Linked DNA regions of Schizosaccharomyces pombe. Changing the gene in region 1 together with any one later gene gives a genetic interaction. Each region holds a gene or a part of one and is shown in the gene's direction. Other genes may lie near its edges.

Region 1 (7,264 bases):
ACCGAGTGCTTCAATACCATAATTTCTATACCAGGTAACTTATGTTACTCAACCTGTGGTAGTGGTATGAACGTGTAAATATTAACCTAAAACACTCTTCTCGTTTTAAAGAAAAAATAAAGAAATAAAAAATTAAAAATCTTACTTTGGTGGCTGCCTTAAAAGTTTTTCAAACGGATCATTTGGGATACCCAACGACTGTAATTTAAACGAAGATTGGTGAATTGAAAACACAAATATAACCCATCTTTTGAACAGTGAAGATTTTGCAATGATACCAAATGAGAAGCTAAAACTATTAGGTTTATTATCAATTTCTTTTTTTCTTCAATGGTATTTAGCAAACACTTGGATTGCTGAATTCCTTTACAGGCGAATCGAAGTATCGACGCCTGTATCCGGATTTTTACGTGTTCGTGAAGGACTTTACTTGTATGAAAACGGACTAGACCCCTATTCTGGTGGTGTTTTCTATCAGTCTCCACTTCTACTGATCTTAAATTATTGTTGTGAGTTGCTTGGAGGAATATCTGTCACCAGATTTGTTTATACTAGCATTTCTACTATGGGAGGTCTCTTTGTGTATTTAATTGCAAAACAAGCTCGTGTTTTAGACCCAAATCAAGTACTATCTACTTGTTCACCATTATGGATTTCCGTCATGTAAGTTACGCATATGGCTTGCGACAAAAAAAGTGAGACATTCTTCAAAAAAATGAAAAGCATTGTATCGTTGGTTTACAAAATTGTTAACGATGACTGTTCAAAGATTGAACTGCGTTGATTACACAGATTTCGTAGTCGATATTGAAAATGTGTACTTCTGTGATATATTTGTGTCGCAAACAAGTATCCTTAACTCAAAATTTACTAACAAAATATTACTTTAGTTATCTGCTTAACCCATTAACATTTCTTCCAGGAATTGCTTGCTCCGCAGACATGATACTTAATTTCACCACTCTAATGACCATTTATTTCGCCTCTTGCGGATCCTATGCAATTTATGCATGCTGTATGGCATTGACTGTATTCATTAATCCTAACGCTTTACTGTTATTTTTCCCCTCCTATCTTATTTTAAGAAAATGCAATTCATCCATTAAATTTCGTCAGATATTCGTTGTTTTTCTTTTTTATCTTGCAGGTCTGATAATAACTTCAGGCTTCTTTCTGAACTCGTTATCTTTTTTGAAAATTCCATTTAGGGTATACTTGGACTCTCATGATCTAACTCCGAATTTGGGTCTCTGGTGGTATTTTTTTACAGAAATGTTCAATGAATTTCGCACATTCTTCCTTTTTGTATTTGCCATTTTACCATTGATGTTTGTTCTCCCTGTTTCGATCCGTCTTTATTATCTGCCCTTGCCTATTACTATTGCTCTTATTGGCCTGCATTCTTTATTCAAAGCTTACCCAAGTATTTGTGATCTTTCAATATTTTTATCTCTCCTCCCAATTTTTAATAAAGTCCAAGACCGAATGCGATATAGCTTGCTTACAAATAATGCTATTGTGTTTGCGCTTGTACTGGGATCTGCATTTTACCATTCTTGGATAACTCTTGGATGTGGAAATGCAAATTTTTATTACGCAAGTAACCTCATTCTTGCTCTTGGACTCTCTTTAAAAATCATGGACTTTCTCAAGGCACTGCTTTTGGTTGATTGGTATGCCAATCACCCACAGCATGAAAATATTCCATTAAAACAGGTTCAATAAAGTAATCTGTTAATTAGAAAATGATATTCTTAGGCTTCATCTATCCAATTTCATCATTAGAGCCTCACCTTTCTGACCTTACGAAACGACCTTTTCCAATTTAACGTTTAGAAATTATTTATTCATACATACAAATAGGAAATTTATATTTCATATTTTTTTCCTTTTCCGAGACGATTCAAGGACTTTTTTTATTTTTTTTCATATTAGGTATTCATGGCATCCCATGGCACTACTCCCTTTACCACGAAGTACCCATGAAAAGTTTTATGCAAAACTTCATCAGCCATTGATGTTTAGTTCCAAAAGATATTTGAATTCCTTTGGTTGGGAGGAAGGAAACGCTTTAAAAGAAGGAGGGCTCACCAAACCAATTTTAACTTCTAGAAAATATAATACTCATGGGGTATGTCAGAATAAAAAATCTTAGAAAAAGATGGGTTTTTTCAGTAAAGTTATGTATGAATTTATTTTTAACACACGGTAGCTTGGTGCTAAACATGATATTGCTGATCAATGGTGGGATAATGTTTTTTCTGCTCAACTACAGTCAATTCAAGTAAATACGGACAACGGAAAGGTAAAAACAACTTAAATATACAATTTTTCCTATCTCTTTTACACAGTGCTAACATTTGGAAAAGGTTGCAGTCCAAAGCAATGGTGTATCTACAAAATTGAGAATGGCAAAATATCACAGCAAATATTCTGCTCTGTCTTCTGTGTTTCGTTATGCTGGTCGACTTTGTGGTACCTTTGAGGAAGATTTAGTTGATAAGAGTCTTGATTCCTCTGTTTCTCCAGTATCGTCCAAGAAAGTCAAAGTCAGAAAAACTTCTGGCAAAGAGTCTTCAAAACGAGAGAAGTCCAAAAAGAAAAAAGAAAAGAAGGAGAAGAAGGACAAGTTGAAAAAAAAATCCAAGAGATTAAAATTAGATGATTCTCATACTCAAAAACGAAAAAGAAAGGTTCGTGACAAAGAATCAAAAAAATCGTCTAAAAGTGGACTTAAGAAGGTTTCGGGTACTAAAAAGGTAAAGGCTTAAAAGGAAAGAAAAATCGTTTGCCTAGCTTTAAATATGAACAAGAATTGGAATTCTTTATTTTACGATTCGTCCAGAAGTCTTCGAACATCCAAACAGCAAGTTTTCTAATTCTTTGAAGTTTCAAAAACACACTTTATTTAAAGCTTTTTATTTGTTTTTCTTGTAGTTTCATTTCGTTTATCAGCGGGCATACATTTGTTGAACGACGGGGTGTATTATATGGGTATCAAAGAATTTGGTATTTGGAAACAGGAGTCTAATTGTATATAAATAATTAATAAATTATTAGAATTGAATTGTTTTACAAATTAAATGATGTTTAATAGGATCCTAGTAAAGAATATATATTTTATTATAAAACTCTGCATTGGATGATTGAATGTTTACAAAATGAATAAAAGGCTATGCATGGAAAGGGAATATTATACTATGTAAATATAATGTCTAAATGAATTAAATTGGAAGCATCGAATGAGATGTCCATTAGCATATTATTACACTCAAACTACCATACCAACTCAACAAAAACGAAAGTCTAAAAAAATGGAGGAATTGTTAAGTAAGCAACGGGAAGAATGTAAAGAACTTCAAAGCAAAATTACAAACCTTCGTAAACAACTAAAGGAAGGAAATAAAAAACAAAAAAGGGCTTTGCAGCAAAAAATCTCACAAATGGAAGCCGATTTATCACAAAAACATGCTACAGAACGACAAAAATTGGATAAAGGCGATGAAGAGACAAATGAAACGCAGCAAGAAGATCTCCTCAATACGCTTTTACAACAGATGGAAGATACGAAAATTACGACGGCAGAAAAATCATCAGTTCAGTCCTCATTGAATACTAAAGAAAATACACCGCAACAGCCTAAAAAGTCTAGGAATAGACAAAAAGAGCGACTTGTAAGTGCTTAACTTTTGACGAATTATCACTAACAAAGTTAATTAGGAACGACGTAAAGCAGAGATGAAAAAAATGTCTGAGCAGGCAGAGCTAGAGTCAGAAAAAATGGCTGATCTCAAAAATGAAGAGAAAAAAAAGTTTTCAAAAATCCTTGAGGAAGCTGGACTTGTTGCAGTCGATATACCAGCGGATGGAAATTGTTTATTTGCTTCCATTTCACATCAGTTAAATTATCATCATAATGTTAAACTAAATAGCCAAGCTCTTCGTAATAAATCCGCTGATTATGTATTAAAGCACTGCGAACAGTTTGAAGGCTTTTTGCTAGACGAAGAATCTGGAGAAGTTTTGCCAGTATCCGATTATTGTAACGAAATTCGAAACAATAGCAAATGGGGAAGTGATATTGAAATACAGGCATTAGCAAACTCTCTTGAGGTTCCTGTTCATGTCTACAACACAGAAGGTCCAGTTTTAAAGTTTAACCCCTCAACGGTCAAGTTCGAAAAACCGTTGTGTATAGCATATTACCAGCATTTGTTTGGGCTTGGCGCTCACTATAATAGTTTATTATATCGGGACAATTAAAAAGATCTAATGAGATGCTTTAGATAGGTTTTTATCCTTTGGTTTATTAGCTTCCTTCCTCGCCGGAAACCATTTAAAAAGGCTGTGCCTTACGAGTTAGATTATATGAATAATATTTATGAATTAAAACTCTTCTGTATTCTATTAATCAAAAAAAAAAATTAGCCATTATTATCTATCATATCCAGTCATATAGTATGCACAATAAATATTACCAAACATGCTTAGAAAGCTTCATCAGGGAAGCATTAGAAACGGTAGAACAATAAATAGAATTAAGGTAGAACATTACTTGTAGCTGTAAGGGGGTGGTGCCTCATCACTTTTTCTTGGAGGCGGTATATGTGGTTGAGGACGAACGTTAGGAATATCGGTTTGTTGCGAACTTGAGCCAGGAAAAAATGCATGCTGTTGAGCACTCGCCTCAGGTCTTTCGGGAGTAGGAAGATCTTCACGCCTGCGCCTTTGATCAATCATGGCCGAATCTACTGGTTCATACCACCCACAATGAGAACAACGAAGTACCTGCTCTGAGTTAGCAAGTGAGTGCTTATTAGTTGGACAGCAAAATAATCCCAACTTTCCCTGGAAAGCATGTAACATTGAAGATTGAAGAATGGCTTAGAAAATAACAAACAAGGTCTGTCAGGTTTCCAAACAATGATAAGTAGAAAGGGTCAACTACATAACATATGCTTTCTTGAATTCCCTTACCTTACTCGTATAAACCGGGAGAACAGGCAAAACGATGAGTGCTAAAGATTTAACCAAACGATATACCCGAACTAAAAACCAAAGTTTTACGTTAACATTAATAAAACAACCCAAAGAAAGAGCAATTGCCTTCATGCAACTACACCACTTATATGTGTCTCATACCAGTTTTATTTTGGCTAAAAAGAAAGTATTAGCAAAAAGTGCTGATGAAAAGAATAGAAGGAAAACAAGAAGACTGCTAGAAACTATTTTTAAATGACAAATTTTAATAAAAAACAAGTGCGTAATTTCTGAAAACAAAATGTTTCTACAATTGTTCCATTTCCACTTCGCCATTTAAACAATGTACTCAATCCACTTGTTTTAACACTAATTCATTGATTTCATACCATACAGGACATGTCAGTAAGACGTGCTTATATTTGCTATTGACTTTCCATATGTCTTGAACATTCAGCGGTATCGGCAAGAAGAGGAACATCTCACGTTAAGAGTCTTAAAATCTTCTTTAAAAAAAAAGAAAAGAAGTTGGATATTATAATGAATAATTCGAGTTAAATCCAAAATATTCGTTTTAGCAGAGTCACTCCATTAGTACGTAGACTAAGCCTCACAGTTAGTGTAATATCACAGAAAATATTTTCGTTAGCTTTATCGCTAAATACATAAAAGAATATCATCACAAAAAGAGGTATTGCTAACGAACTACGGTGCGTCTCTATATTTAGAAGCAACACCAATAACTTCAAAAAATGAAAGCAGAAAATTCGTAGAGAAGAAATTTTCTAATCTTGCATCCCAAGTCAAATCATGTATTTGTGTCTTTAATTAGTAAATATTAGGATAATCGTTGATTTGAAGTATTAAAAAATTGATTGTATTTTGGAGCGCAAATCTGAGATTTTTTTTATAGATTAAAAAATTCTCCTTGATACGGTCATTTTCGGTTGACTTGTGTTCAAACTCTTTCTATAAAAAGAGGTTCTTTTTCTAAGAGAATCCCTGCCGAGTTTCCTTAAGTTTTAGAAAGGTAAAGGGCTGGTCGACGTCTTTTCACATTGTTGGTGCCAAAAACAAAATTTTCGAGACAAATAACTGGGTTCGTGGTGTATATTTTAACAAATTATCGTTTATTTTAATTTTCTGTATTTCGTTATTATATACCGTTTTTTCGTGCTCGTTTCATCTTGTATCGTTCTTGACAATTTCTGTATCTTCACTTTTTGGATTTATTTGTTTGGATGCGTGGCATAGAATAATCATGTCGAATTCGTTAAATGATCAAACACGACCACCCGATTCAAGTGTTGTAGACAGTACATCTTCCAACTTTCCAAATGCGTCAAACGATAGTGTACATGATAAACCGGTAAAACAGGACGAACAATCCAATCCAAATGTTCGCGAAGCAATTGCTAATTCCGATGGACAAGAATCTTTAGCTGTAAAGGAAAACAAGGATACGGAAAGCTCATCCTCTCATTTCGTACCTAACGGAGTTTCAAATTCTAAAAAGAGAAAGCTCGTGGCTACAGATTTAGATGTTGATTTTGATATTAGTAGTGTACGAGTTACTGAAAAGCCATCTGTATTAGAAGAAAAAAGCGGCGTTATTCAATTTCGTGTTGTTTCTAACGACGACACCGCCGACAGTATGATCATGTTGACTGGTTTAAAAAACATATTTATGAAACAACTTCCTAAAATGCCAAAAGAATACATTACGCGGCTAATTTATGATCGAAACCATCTTTCAATGACCATTGTCAAAGATAATTTACATGTAGTGGGCGGTATTACTTATCGTCCATTTGAACAACGAGGATTTGCCGAAATTGTATTTTGTGCGATTGCTTCCAATGAACAGGTTCGTGGTTATGGTTCTCATTTAATGAATCATTTAAAGGATTATGTCCGTGGAACTACTACAATTCAGCACTTCTTGACATATGCAGATAACTATGCAATCGGGTATTTTAAAAAACAAGGATTTACTAAGGAAATTACTCTTGACAAGTCTATATGGGTTGGCTATATTAAGGATTACGAAGGTGGCACACTTATGCAATGCACCATGATTCCAAAAATAAAGTATTTAGAAGCTAATCTGATTTTGGCTATTCAGAAAGCTGCTGTTGTTTCCAAAATTAACAGGATCACTCGGTCGAACGTTGTTTATCCTGGTTTAGACGTATTCAAAGATGGTCCAGCTCATATAGAGCCGTCTCAAGTTCCTGGGTTGATGGAAGTTGGATGGTGCAAGGAAATGGAAGAGCTCTCCAAA
Region 2 (7,501 bases), 1.8 Mb from region 1:
AATTCTTGTATTGACCAGGTACGAATCGGAATGGAGGACATCCCACAACAGACAAAAAATGAAATACAATTCACAAATTAGTACCACATCTTGTTCATTTTCATGAACAAGTGTTAAAGAACTTTTATATTTATATAAAAGACATATTCAACTGGTTGTCTTTACTAAGTTTAGATGCATTCTTGATTCAATGTATCTACGAGAAGCGCATTGAAAAAAAAAAGTTTGTTTGTAATAGTTTATATTCAAAGACTGTTGAAAACACATTTCCTCAACTATTCTTGAGTTTGGCATTGATAACCTTTTGAATTTCATTAATACGAGTTCTCACTTTTTTTTGTAATCCAAAAAACGGTGATGGATGGTTTGTAAGGCAATGGATTAACAACTTTTCAATAAAATAATTCTTTACTCTAGTCAAAGGAACAAGTGGAATCAATTAGACAGAGTCTTCTATTCGTAAACTTTCCAATTGTAATTTTCGTTTGAGGGAAAAGAAAGTTTAAGTATATTATCTGTAATTCTAAACGATGTAGTAAACTAGTAGTTTATTAAACACTTTAGTTTATTAAATACTTTACTGCTAGTTTATTCAGCGTTCGGCTGGTAAGCCAGTTATCACCGATCGTTATGTGCTTTTAGATACTAATAAATCTTCTTTAAGGAAACTTTTTAAATATAAAGAATAATTATTGATAAACAGTTAAGTTAAAATGACCAATGTCTGGGTTCTGAAAAGAAGCAAAATTGGCCCCTAGAGTTTAGAAGTGGGTAGTCCACACAAATTTTTACTCAGAACCAAACACTCAACACTTTGCAAAAATGTCGACGACAAGCTGCAGAATGTACGAGAATCGCTTCCCGGAAGTGGATGAACTCGTTGTTGTCAACGGTATGTAAAAAATGCACATGTTGTCTGTCTAAAGAAACGGTAATGGCTAATATTTCCAATAGTTCGTCAAATCCAGGAGATGGGCGCTTATGTAAAATTGTTGGAATACGATAATATTGAAGGAATGGTTTTGCTCTCTGAGCTTTCCAGACGTCGTATTCGTTCAGTACAAAAGCATATTCGCGTTGGTCGTAATGAAGTCGTCGTGGTCTTACGTGTCGACAAGGAAAAAGGTAAGAATTTATTAGTAGTTTTTTTTTTTTTTTTTTTTAAAAAAAAGAAAAACAAAAGGGGAAAAAAGGTTTATAAGTTGTTAGGAATGTACTAACCAGGATTAAGGATACATCGATCTTTCAAAGCGCCGTGTTAGCCCTGAGGATGTTGTAAAGTGCGAAGAACGCTTCAACAAATCTAAGGCTGTTCATTCCATTATGCGCCATATTGCTGAGAAGCATAATGTTCCTTTGGAGACCATGTATACCACAATTGGATGGCCATTATACCGCAAATATGGACATGCTTATGACGCCTTTAAGCTTGCTATTAGTAACCCAGATCATGTCTTTGAGGGTTTAGAACCTCCCAAATCGGGTGTTATTAATGATTTGTTGGCTCAAATCTCTCGTCGTCTGACGCCTCAGCCCATTAAAATTCGTGCTGACGTTGAAGTCACTTGCTTTGGCTACGAAGGTATTAACGCTATCAAGGCCGCTTTGAAGGCTGCTGAAGATGTTCATACCGAGGAGGTTCCTATCAAAGTTAAACTTGTTGCTCCTCCACTTTACGTCCTTTTGACAAACGCATTAGATAAGTCATTGGGTCTCAAAAAGCTAGAAGAGGCAATTGGTGCAATCGAAAAATCCATTACAGCATCCAATGGTACCTGTACTGTTAAAATGAAACCCAAGGCGGTTAGTGAAACTGACGAATTGGAGCTTGCCGATTTGATGAAAAAATTTGAAAAGGAAAATGCTGAAATCTCTGGTGATGAAGAGGATGACCAAAGCGGTTCTGAGTAAATGGATTAGACACTAGCTAATATACGCTTTTTCATTGTGAATTTTTGGCACTTTAGTGTTCCATTATAATCTGGGGTTCTTTTTATTTTGTACTATACACTTTATCAAATTTATCTAGTGATATCTATGGTTAAAAAATTTCCTCTTCTTTTTTCCGAATGCGTAAGAGTTCTTTTATATGTTACGAGATAATATGAAAACGCTAGACGCTGCATCTTGTTCCTTTGTATGTACAATAATAAGTTCAGTTCCAATATAGTAGAAATAATGGACAACAAATGCAATTACAAATAATAAAGTTACAAAAGACTTATTACTGTGGTTAGCTACGGCGTGTAATATCTGCTTTGGGGAGGATTGGGGAAATTAAAGAACTGAATTTCTTAATGTACAAGTAATCTGGTACTTATTATGTGAGTGAAAAACAAACAAGGACAAGAATAAGATAAAAAGGATTCGTAATCGTGAAGATATGATTAATAAATTAACCATTTTGCAAATCACATATACACAGCTTGAACAACGTATAATCAAATATAGTAAGTTCGGAACAGGTGAAAAATTAGCGGATATTAAAGCCCAAAAAAAAACAACAATGCTTGCATTCAATAATGGGAAGACCAACAGACTTTAGATTGGGGAAAAATTACTTAGCATCAACAAGCTTCTGATCCCTACAAGCTTCGCAATACCATGTACCTTCAGGAGGAGCTTTAAGACCAACACACTCCATATGGAACCATTCACGCTCACAATTAGCATTGTCACAAGCGACCATTTGCCCATATGATCCTTGCTGGCAAAAACAATACTTTTCATTATCCTCTTCCATATCTTCTTCTGAGACCATTTCATTCGGCGTTGTGGAATCTGCCTTAGTTTCTAACTGGGTGGTTGCAGTGGCATTCGAAACCTTCTGACCGCGAGTTGAACCAGAATCTGCCAACGAAGCCGTATAAGGAGAGTGATAGACTCCATTTTGAATTGCACCCCTGGTAGTTGCTGAAGTACGACGGCGACCAGCTGTTGAGGCTCCCGACCGAGAAGGGGCCGGTGTTTGACGAGCACTTGAGGCACCACTTGGACTGTATCCACCATACGGTGAAGAAGCATAGTAGTCAGGAGCATTTAACAATTCCGCAGCTGTAAATCCATGACCGGCCTTTGCAAGTCTATCATCCAATCGCTTTATGTGCCGTGTAAGTCCCAATCTGGCACGATCCGCCAACTGGACTTTCTCGTTCTGTATATTAATTGCCTTTTGATACTCCTCGCGAATCGTCGAATACAAAGCATCTTCTTTTGGATGTGGGGTCAAGGAACCATGTGATTTAATGTATGACTGAATCTGAGAATCAGCTGCTTGAATTCTCTTCCAGATGTCATGTACAGCAACTTCCTTCACACTAATTTCGTCAAAGATGTGTTTTGTTTCGTTGGGAACATTATCCAACGTTTGCAAATACTCACTTAGTATGTAAGCTGTATCATCTGCCATTATTCTCAAATTGAAAATTATAGATACGTTCTAATTTCCGCTTTATGCAAAAATTATTATTATGATTTCAAATTCCAAAAGAAAGGGAGATTTGAGTCTTTTAAAGAGATAGGGAAAGTTGATATTCCACTAATATTTTCGATACTTCAATAACTAATGAATAAAAGATACTATGACTTTATCTTTTAAAGTAGAGGAATGTGACAATAAATGTACAAACGAGAAGGACAAAGACACTAATTGAAATAATATATATGAACCTATGGCTCGTTTTTGTGTCGTTTAAAGATTATTTTTACACTCTCTTAAGCTGCTGAAAATTTTTCCGGTTGTTTATAGTAGCCCACATTTGGTGTTGAGTTCCGCCACTCCATATAATGTAAACACAGTACTGGAAGGCAAAGAGGGCGAAATAAAAACATAAGAATTCACGCAAACCAAATCACTTTGAAGATAAATCTTTTCAACGTATGTATGATATCTAAGTTGCCAAATTGTCTATGAATTCACATGCTAAAGGTTACCATCTGTTTAAGTAATAACGATACGTTATTAATGTGTTAGTTCATATATGGAAGCATAACATACTAAACTACACCTAAGTTGGTAGCTTCCTTCTGTGTTCACTGAGATATACATTTTTAAGTTATAAGAATGAACCAGCACTAGCAATTCTTCAAAAAATTGTAAATCCTATTTGTTCTTGTGTTTATGGGCTTCAAAGAGTTTGAATTAACGCTTTGTTGAAGTTGTACATTTTATCTAATAAGGTATCGGGTTTAGCGACCTTTTGCTACGTATTCTGCGCTCGACGTAAAAATAAAGTATTTACAGTTCGTGTTGCTGTTTATTATTTGGATTGAATTCTTTTCTATAAAAAAATCTGGGTTGTTTTTCGATTTATATTAATTTGGCATTGGTCAATAACTTTCATTTCTCTTGTTTCTTCTGAAACAGTTATTAATTTGTTTCTTAATTTTATTTATTCTTTTCTTGTTCTTTCTTTAGAAAAGATATTTTCATTTAATTTGTCTCGCGGTTTTTTTTAGTATAATAGTCTGTATATCATGGATACTCCTGAGACATCCACACCTTATGAACAAGTTGAAAAGGGGTCTTTTTTTAGCTTTCGACCTCAAAAAAAGCGTGTCACATATCACTTAGATGAACAGGTGGGAAACTACCACTATGGTGACAAACATCCAATGAAGCCCCATCGAATTACCATTACAAATCATTTAGTGATGGGTTATGGGTTGCATAACAAAATGAGTGTATTCAGCCCCCGGATGGCAACTTTTGGTGAAATGTCAGAATTTCATAGGGAGGATTATTTGGATTTCCTTAAGCGCGTTACTCCTGATAATGCTGAACAATTTGCTGATAAGTTCCAACAATTCAATATTGGTGATGACTGTCCGGTCTTTGACGGCACTTATGAATTTTCTCAAAGGTCGGCAGGCGCTAGTTTGGATGCTTCTCGGAAGTTAGTGCAAGGTCAAACAGACATTGCTATCAATTGGAGCGGTGGTCTCCATCATGCAAAGCGTGGTGAGGCTAGTGGATTCTGCTATGTTAATGATATTGTTCTAGCAATTTTGAACATGCTACGGTTTTTTCCTCGCGTTTTGTATATCGATATCGATATTCATCATGGAGATGGTGTGCAGCAAGCATTCTATGAATCTGACCGCGTGTTGACGGTTTCTTTTCACAAGTATAATGGTGATTTTTTTCCTGCAACTGGTAATTTTGATGAAAATGGCGTGAAAGGAGGGAAATATTTTGCTTTAAACGTTCCTTTGGAAGATGGTATTGGTGATGAACAGTACACTAGTCTTTTCAAATCCATAATTGAACCAACTATCAATACTTTTCAACCTTCTGCAATTGTCCTTCAGTGTGGTGCTGATTCGCTTGGTTATGATCGGCTCGGCGTGTTCAATCTGAGCATCCATGCACATGGGGAATGTGTTAGATTTACCCGTTCATTCAATATACCCATGCTTGTAGTTGGAGGTGGTGGTTATACTCTTAGAAATGTTGCTAGAGCGTGGTGTTATGAAACTTCCATATGTGTAAACGAACAAATACCTTCAGAATTACCTCGTGAAACTTTGTATTACGAATTTTTCGCACCAGATTACACCCTCCATCCGCGATTAACCACGAAGATAGAAAATAAAAATACACCGAAAGCTCTTGAAGATCTTCGAATACGGGCCTTGGAGCAATTACGTTACTTAGGAGGAGCGCCAAGCGTTCAGATGCAGCAAATTCCACCAGACTTAACTGGGCATTTGGAAGAAGAAGACGAACGGTTGAATGATGAATACTTAGACAAAGCTGTGGATGTTCGCGTTCGAGGCTGATATTAATGAATTTTCGACTTTTTATTTGATATCCGTACAAACATCAAATAATTTTAGTTAATGTTTATAGACATTGTAAATATTAATAATTGACCCTATACGAAAATACGTTTACCATAGTGATTATGTATTATTTTTATAAACGATTATGCAAAAAAAAACACTAAATTTATTCCTCTTTGTCTAAACGAACTGCAGGGCTAGCCTCAATTAGGTCCAAGTTAACCTTAGGACCAATCAATTGTCTAATGTCGGCCACACCATATTTGATCATAGTGGGGCGCTCTAAAGAAAGACCAAAACCTAAACAACGAACATCTTTAGGTAATCCCATAGGCTCTAACATCTCCGGACGGAACATGCCGCTGTTTCCGACTTCAACCCACTTACCAAGCTTTTCGTGGTAGGAAAAGACTTCCAATGAAGGTTCAGTATAAGGATTATAAGCAGGTTTGAAGCGCAAATTTTTAACGTTCATTTTTCCAAAGAACACCTCAAGGAAACCGATCAAATCACCGAGGGTAATATTTCTATCGCAGATTACGCCTTCGACTTGATGAAATTCGGCAAGATGAGTTGCGTCAACGGTTTCATTGCGGAAGACCCGATCAATTGAGAAGTATTTAGCAGGGTGAAAGCCATTTTGGGCAAGTTTGTACAACATATTCGCCGAGACAGCAGTAGTATGAGTACGAAGAACTAGTTTACGAGTTTCCTCCAAGGAAAAGGGAGCACGGTATCCAATGCCCTTAGTCTCACCACCGTTTTCGTGAGTGGCCTTTACTCGAGCAACATATTCGGGATCTGGCAATTTATCAGTAGAAGCAGGAACTTTCAAAAAGAAAGTATCTTGAGCATCCCTTGCTGAATGTTGTTGGGGGACAAATAAAGCATCAAAGTTCCAAAATCCACTTTCAACAAAATTGTTGGTTGGCATTTCTTCAAAACCCAATTCGAAGAAAAATTTACGGAATTCTTCACGTACTTTCATCAAAGGATGAAGACATCCACCAGCTGGAGGTATACCTTCAGCTGCAAAGTTGTAAGATTTAAACTTGGCACTTTCCCATGATCGAGAGGTGATCATCTCAGCAGTTAAATCGGTGTTCAGTTTTTCAATTTGAAGCGAGAAATTTGGACCTTTCCTCAAAGAGAAGTACATAATTTTGTTACGTTCAACAAGCTTTCTCTTCTTCAAATCAGTTAACGTCTTACTGTCAGAGATAGTTCCATGTTCCTTAATTTCACTAAGGACCTTAGGGGTCTCATCTGTAATGGAATCAGTCTGGTCAGTTAGTAAATAAAATATTGCATAACGTTAAATCAATTTGCACTACTATAACTTTGCCTTACATTTTTAACAAGCTTGTCTCCATCTTTCTTAATCCAACCGAGTTTAAAGGCTCTTCCTTGACCAATACCAGCCGAATTCCCCAATTTTTTCTAAATCAGTTAGAAAAAGTACAAAAAAACTAAAAGGCAGACGTAGCGATATGAAAAGGTGTTGCATCAAAACGCGAAAAATCGAAAATGCAACATAATGCTAGAAAAAAAAAACTAACAATATTTACCGGGCGTTTAGACTTAATTATATTTAAATGCTTCGTCGTTCACAACTACGATTCCAATGACTTTACCTTGAGTTCCCCAATATTTAAACCGCTCATAGAAGCGCAAATTTCATTATAAACTTTGGCTTCATGAGAACCATTTGCGCAAA
Region 3 (7,501 bases), 2.8 Mb from region 1:
TATCAACTTTATCTTTCAGTTTTAGGACACCTTACCTATCACCACAATGGCAGTTCTTCGTCAATTCGTCAAGAACTCTTACTCTTCAATTCCCAAGCGCTTTTATGCGCTTTCTGCTAATCAAAAAAAGGTAAAGAAGTTTATTTAAACGCGCTTTTTTGGAGCAAGCAATGACTGTATTTTCTATCTGTGCTGTTTGCTACTATCAACAGGCGATAGATTGACTTGCTCAAATGATTTATGAAGTGTTCTAATAAAGTTCTAACGATAATTAAGTTACTCAAAGCACCATTGGCAGAATGTGATCCGACAGTGTATAAGATTTTGGAATCTGAGAAAAGCCGTCAGAAAGAGTCGATAGCTTTAATTGCTAGCGAAAACTTTACTTCAAGAGCTGTGATGGATGCACTCGGAAGTATTATGCAAAACAAATATAGTGAAGGCTATCCTGGTGCAAGATATTATGGTGGTAATGAATTTATAGATCAAGCTGAAAGACTATGTCAAACGAGAGCTTTAGAAGCTTTTCATTTGGATGGGGAAAAATGGGGAGTAAATGTACAACCCCATTCTGGGTCTCCGGCCAACTTACAGGCTTATCAAGCAGTAATGAAGCCACACGATCGCCTAATGGGTTTAGATTTACCCCATGGCGGTCATTTATCTCATGGTTTCTCTACTCCCCAGAAAGCTATTTCAGCTGTCTCGACTTATTTTTCCACCATGCCATATAACGTAAATAAGGAAACTGGTATTATTGACTATGATAGTTTGGAAAAGGCTGCGATACAATTTCGTCCTAAAGTTATAGTTGCAGGCGCTAGTGCTTATGCACGACTCGTTGATTACAAGCGTATGCGTAAAATTACGGAAATGTGCAATGCCTATTTGCTTTGTGATATGGCTCACATATCCGGTTTAGTAGCTGCCGGTGTAATTCCTTCTCCGTTTGAATACGCCGATATTGTTACTACGACGACTCATAAGTCTTTACGTGGACCGAGAGGAGCTATGATATTTTATCGAAAAGGTACTCGTTCTCACGATAAACGTGGTAATCCAATTTTATATGAATTAGAGGATAAAATCAATTTCTCAGTTTTTCCTGGACATCAAGGCGGCCCCCATAATCATACAATTACTGCGTTAGCTGTCGCCCTTGGACAAGCAAAAACTCCTGAATTCTATCAATACCAAAAGGACGTTCTAAGTAACGCCAAGGCAATGGCCAATGCATTTATTACTCGTGGCTATAAGTTAGTTTCAGGTGGCACGGATACTCACTTGGTTCTTGTTGATTTGACCGACAAAGGTGTAGATGGTGCCCGTGTCGAACGTATTTTAGAGCTTGTAAATATTTCTGCCAACAAGAATACTGTGCCCGGAGATAAGTCTGCTTTAATTCCACGTGGATTACGTCTGGGAACTCCAGCTTGCACTACTCGCGGTTTTGATGAGAAGGATTTTGAGAGAGTGGTAGAGCTAATTGATGAAGTTGTATCTTTGACCAAGAAAATAAATGAAGCTGCTTTGAAGGAAGGAAAATCGAAGTTTAGAGACTTCAAAGCATATGTGGGTGATGGTTCTAAATTCTCTGAAATCGCCAAACTGAAGAAAGAAGTTATAACTTGGGCTGGAAAATTTGATTTCCCCGTTTAAGCTGTCTCTAACTTTTTGGCTCTTATCTCATACTTATCATCTGTTACTTTCTCTTATAAAGGATATATCATGGAAATTAAACATGAGCTGTATGAATAATGAAAATATCTGGACAAATTCTCTATTAAAGTAACCCTACAAATATCATATAATAAACAGAGGTAATAATGTGTTACACTTATATGCTGCATAGGAATGGGGATAAAATTATGCTGAAGCGTGTATAAAGAAGGACGGTAAATCCATAGTAGACAATATTAGCATTAGGCAAAATATCTACCCCTTTATTAAAGGATACAGCCCTAATAAATGGTTGACTAACCTGCTAAAGATTTCATAATCATAAGGCACCTTAAATGTTATAAAGGGGTGGAGTTTTTAAATGAAGAGAAACGAGGTAAAATAATGGTACGAATCCGTGATAACCATCTAACAACATTGGGAAGAAGACTTCTTCTTATTAAGATCATTCATGGTAGGGGCGATATTAAGCGTTTGACCAGCTGTAGGATGAACACCGTCGTCTCCAGCCTCGAGTGATCTGTTGGAGACAATTCGGAAAATTTCTACGCTAGATTAGTAAAACTTGAAGAAATCAAAGCAAGTACGAATAAACATACCAGTCAAAACTGTTTGGAAAGCTTCTTCAACATTGCTAGCATCCATGGCGGAGGTTTCAATAAAAGATAAGTTATTTTCAGCTGTAAAAACATTAGTTAATTATGTTCAAAAAATTATGACGAATCAGAGGCAAACAAATGTGCTTAATAAACAGAGAATGGAATCGACAAGGTGAATAATATTTCAAAACAAAAAGAGATCTTCTACGCTTCAAGCAGTTCAAAATTGCTAAAAACGATGAACGGAATAAAGTGAGAGCGGCTAAAGCCGGTTTCACTACTTCCCGTCCGAACAACTCCATATCTCACCAACAAAATTACTTACCAGCAAATGCCTGGGCTTCTTCAGTAGATACAGCTCTTAAATGTAGTAAATCCGTTTTATTACCAACAAGCATGATAACGATGTTGCTGTCTGCATGCTCACGAAGCTCCTTTAACCAGCGGCCCACATTATCGAATGAAGATTGTTTTGTGATATCGTAAACAATCAGAGCACCAACAGCACCACGGTAATAAGCTGAGGTAATGGCCCGATAACGTTCCTGACCGGCAGTATCCCAGATCTGTGCTTTAATTTTTTTGTTGTCAAGAACAATATTTCTAGTAGCAAATTCAACACCAATAGTACTCTTGCTTTCGATATTAAATTCATTCCTAGTGAAACGCATAAGTAGGTTTGACTTTCCAACACCACTATCCCCAATCAGCACAGTCTTGAACAAATAATCGTATTCGTCCTCTTGACACATGGCTAAGTTCTCTATCGGTAAATCTACGAACAATTTTTGTTAACAAATATTTAAGGTCAAATAATATCAAGGTATATACCTGTAAATTACAATGAACCCTGCTTTCGATAGTCGAAGAATTTACTTAGTCGTAGTTTGTTGTAGGTAAGTTGCAGAGGGATATCAGAAAACCTAAGGAAGTAATAATCCTTTATCATGGTAACAAAAAAAAGTCCACTAGTGCCACTGGCCGTTAAAATGCATATAACGCATTCCAATGATTCATTAAATAATTATACTGCGTTACAAAGAATGTCGTAATCATGAGAAGGCTGGTGTCGTTTAGTGATTGCTATCATCAAAATCATTATGCTGTTGTTCACTATAAAGCGCTATTTTGTAAACATTTTAAAATGCCTTTGATATAAAGAAGCGCAAGTACTCAATTGAATGCAAGTACTATCAATTATATGAATGACCGATTGAACCCAATCGCAAAACTGGATATGGACGGGTTGGTATGGGTTTTTACAGTGCGATTAGTCAGTACTATACCCATTTTAGTCCTGCATCAAACAATGATGTAGAAATTCTTTGAAAGCAATGTTTTGATTTCCAAGTTACAAAGTTATCTAGCCAAAGAAAGAATATTTTAAGTTCCGGTTTTTTCAGCAGCTTTTTCTCACTTTTATAATGGTCACAATGATCGAAATTAAAAATTTGAAAGAATAAAATTGGCGGCTCAATTGAAATCTTTTTCTTTATGCAAAAGTTATACAATGTTGGATGCTGCTCATGGCATGCAGGCATCCTTCATGCAGAAAGTTACTTGAGTAATCCATCGAATAATTATCGTTGGCAAATCTTGGGTTAACAAGAAACAAAAAAATCCTGCACATAAACAGTTTTTCTTATTAAGTTCATTTCATGGAAAACGAATAACATAGTTCCGTAATAATATAAGTAAATGGATCCCTTGGTTAACCTCTATATAAAATTAATGCAAGCAATTATCAAAAGAGGTCGTGTGGTTTAGATGGTTATAATTTCTGCTTAACATGCTAGTTCGCAGACGGTCCCAAGTTCGAGTCTTGGCACGATCATTTTTTTCTATCGTAGTAATTATTTACTTTTCTTATTGTACTACCAGTTTTGGAATGATATGTTGTGTTGAATTCGTTTATATAGAGTTAACACATTTAGAGGTATTATGTATAAACGCATCGTTTAATAAATTGCAGCGCTCAAAATCTACTCATTGTAGCTTTTTGAAAACAAAATTCATTATTTGTTTAAAGTTTTTCTAACTTACACAACCACCCAGAAAATAAAATTAGAAGTTCAGGAGGAATGAGAAAATTTTAAACATTTATCAATTTACCAACAAAGTTTTTTGACTACTAGTACCTCATGTATGCAACTAGTAACACTAGTGGTTAGTGAGTATTTTCTCAAAGTACATATGTCTCCATAGGTGTCTTCAAATCTGCAACCTCAACCTCACACACTTGATTAATGCAATAAAACTCCAAACCCAATCGAAAACTTATTTTTTTGTATATTTAACGGTTTGCGTTGGTGACACGACGGTAAAATCACGCGGATTTTGTTTGATTCCAAAATTCGAGTGCATAAGCCATCTTGCTTATTGCAGCGAGACTTCGAAATTCTAACATCTAAAAGCTTCATTACTGGAATTATCTGTTGTTATTCTTGTGTTCCATTGGTAAAAAAATCACAAGCAAAAGGGAAATATTTGAGCCATTTTAGAGGTTATACTCTGCCCTTCATGCAACTATAAAAGTAGTTGAAAGGGAAGAACTTTGGCTAATAGTTTTGTCAAGGAATCTATTCAATCTTGCTTAATTCCGTTTTTTTTTTAAATTCATATCTTTATCCTTTTATATATTTTTTTGTTGTAATACTTCAATCTCTCTTAGCGACACGTAGGTGAGCAAAAAACCCGCTACCTTGAAATGGTATCTGTTAAACCACTTCCTGATATTGACTCGAATGAAGGTGAGACAGACGCGGATGTTTATGAGGTGGAAGATATCCTTGCTGACCGCGTAAATAAAAATGGCATAAACGAATATTATATAAAATGGGCTGGCTATGATTGGTATGATAATACTTGGGAACCTGAACAAAATTTATTCGGTGCGGAAAAAGTGCTTAAAAAATGGAAAAAACGGAAAAAGTTAATTGCTAAAGGCTTGCTTGAACCTTTCGATGCGGAAGATAATGAGGCAAAGAAAATGAAGAGAGAAAAGGAGATATTGAGGCAACAAAGACAAAAGCGCAAATCCGAGCTTACCCAATTATCTCAAAAAGTCAAAGAAAAATTCAAAAAGATGCGTAAGAAGCCTGCCCGAAGGATTGTAACCATCGCAAATGATGAAGAGGAAGAGGACGATCAGACAATGGATGAGGATGCGTTTGAGAGAAAAAGTATGCAAGGGGAATTGAAGGAGAGGAATTTGACCGATAAAACTAGCACGCTATCCACATCGTTTGGTGAAACTAGCCCTGATGTTAATCCTTTCTACTTATCAGAGTGGCCTACAGTTACCGACAGTATTTTATTGTCCAAAAGCCTCTCCAGCGATGCAATACCTTTGAAAAATGGCGAAATTAAAAGCACAATGTTGATGCCCAGTGACTCTGACAACTCAGTTCCCGGAATTCAAAATTCGAACAATCTTGAAAATACTGGCGCTTTTGTTGAAAATGCGAATTCACCACAATCTAACACCCCCTTGTCAACCTTTAGGCATTCAAGCCCTTTAAGTCTGTCGCCAGTAATAACTTCCGATAATGATGTTGCCAATTCATTATTTTTTAGCAATTCGACTCCTCTTCCTTCCTCTTTGAAGATAAAAAAGGAAGCACCGAAATTAGAAACGCATACGATATTAGTTAGTGATAATTCTGGTTCTTTAACGAAGCAAGATATTTTATCGTACTTTGCTTTTATCAAAGGAAATATTGAGGTCTTTTTTCTCAAATCACCAAAGAAAGACAAAGTTTGTAATATGGCCTACATTCAATTCGATTCTATCGAACAAGCCAAACTTGCGTATGATAAAGGGCATCCAAGTTGGCATGTAACTTTAGTAAAAGGGAAGATATCAACTGATATGGAAGAATGTAAAGTCTCAAAGTCTATTTTAAAAACAACCCCTTCAAAGAAAGCAAATGCAAGGTCCGTTTCTTTTACACAAACAACAACAGATACCCTTTCTGAGTCGGAAAAATTTGCTAGCAATGTCGATCTGGACGAAAATTTCGATTTCAACGTAAACGTGACGAATGAAGATGCTAAGCAGCTTAAGAAAAGTGTTATCGGAAGTAGTTGGACTACTGTTAATAACGACTGGAACAGTGTTTCTAAAAGCGATCAAACTTTTGAAAATGATGGAGCTAGCAAAGTAGTTCCGGCTGGTAATATTACTTTAAATTCGGATAACTCTCTTCACCATTCGATAAGCGAATCCGAAGATCTTTCTTCAGCAAGCACATTGTCTGATTATTTTAGATTCGTTTTGCGAGTCGGAAAATCTCTCTACTATGCTGGAGAATTGTCATTTGATATATCCAAGCTTAAGGCGGAAACTGAACATCAACAGTTGTTACGAAGTTTAGTCAGTTGCAAGCAAGTAGATGTTTTACGTTTTGTTACTTCACAATATCTCGAGGTATTTGGTACTTGCTTGACTAAAGTTCTTTCCGGAAGTCTTTGTATTCGAAGCGATGTTGATATGACTCACTTTAAAAATATACTAAACCGCGGCAACGGTGCTGGCATCGTTCTGGGTAGTAACTATACATTATTATTATTTACAGAGGATAATAATGCTTTAATGAATTTATACGATTGTCAAGGCCAAAGCAATAGCCCTTTTTGGATGGTGATTTTTGAACCTTTAGAATCAATCCTAGTCGAATGGTCGGCAAAAAATCTAAGGCCTAAAAAGCCATATCATAAATCCCAATCTTACTTGTCTTATTTACTACAATTAGGCCACATCGATTTACATAAAATAGGCGCTTTTCAAGCTACACAAATTTTAATTGTCTCTAAACAGCCTTCTCCGGAGGCAGAAGAATTGGAGGATACTTTTAGAGAAGCTGCTATTCCGACATTTCGAGGACTCGAGATTCCGGAATCTTTGTTTTTATCACAGAATGTTTTTGTTTTCCTGAATGTCTCACTAGAGGATGATTTTGATCAACTGCAATTTTTAACACTGGCGAAAAGGAAAAGTTGTAAATTTTTCTTATTTGGTTTGTCACTCCCTCTCAAAAGTCCTAATGATTCACACGTGGGTACGGACTTTAAGAAAAACAATGAACCCCTTGATAAGTTGACATATTCACAGTACTTAAGACCGATGTTTCCTAAGGGTGGGGTGGTATCTGTTACACTCTCAGCACTTATAAAAACACCACGGCTTTTGGAACTCATTAGTCCATTTCTTGAGATTAAAA

The links.
Region 2: mutations in tma23 (region 1) and hos2 together harm fitness more than expected from each alone (negative genetic interaction), as found in Schizosaccharomyces pombe (2 studies listed by BioGRID).
Region 3: mutations in tma23 (region 1) and chp1 together harm fitness more than expected from each alone (negative genetic interaction), as found in Schizosaccharomyces pombe (2 studies listed by BioGRID).

Annotation. Positions count from the first base shown.
Region 1 is NC_003424.3:4,967,875-4,975,138, forward strand, and holds tma23 (ribosome biogenesis protein), read left to right. Parts: upstream 1-1,968; 5' UTR 1,969-2,017; coding exon 2,018-2,131; exon of another isoform or gene 2,132-2,212; coding exon 2,213-2,305; exon of another isoform or gene 2,306-2,369; coding exon 2,370-2,771; 3' UTR 2,772-2,863; downstream 2,864-7,264. Other genes in the region: gab1 (Pig-U family GPI transamidase subunit), read left to right, coding at 272-663, 891-1,725; OUT family ubiquitin-specific cysteine protease Otu2, read left to right, coding at 3,315-3,674, 3,721-4,263; SPOM_SPAC1952.04C (uncharacterized protein), read right to left, coding at 4,552-4,788, 4,978-5,048, 5,143-5,156, 5,370-5,461; SAGA complex histone acetyltransferase catalytic subunit Gcn5, read left to right, coding at 6,242-7,264.
Region 2 is NC_003424.3:3,165,634-3,173,134, forward strand, and holds hos2 (class 1 histone deacetylase Hos2), read left to right. Parts: upstream 1-4,037; 5' UTR 4,038-4,476; coding exon 4,477-5,781; 3' UTR 5,782-5,879; downstream 5,880-7,501. Other genes in the region: tif211 (translation initiation factor eIF2 alpha subunit), read left to right, coding at 823-892, 955-1,125, 1,232-1,911; png1 (chromatin modification-related protein), read right to left, coding at 2,558-3,409; phenylalanine--tRNA (Phe) ligase alpha subunit Frs2, read right to left, coding at 5,951-7,066, 7,135-7,224, 7,419-7,501.
Region 3 is NC_003424.3:2,211,345-2,218,845, reverse strand, and holds the start of chp1 (heterochromatin (HP1) family chromodomain protein Chp1), read left to right. Parts: upstream 1-4,500; 5' UTR 4,501-4,986; coding exon 4,987-7,501. Other genes in the region: serine hydroxymethyltransferase Shm2, read left to right, coding at 47-130, 277-1,659; Rab11 family GTPase Ypt3, read right to left, coding at 2,089-2,225, 2,280-2,360, 2,605-3,031. UniProt on the Schizosaccharomyces pombe protein: Component of the kinetochore which plays a role in stabilizing microtubules and so allowing accurate chromosome segregation. Has a role in the RNA interference (RNAi) pathway which is important for heterochromatin formation and accurate chromosome segregation.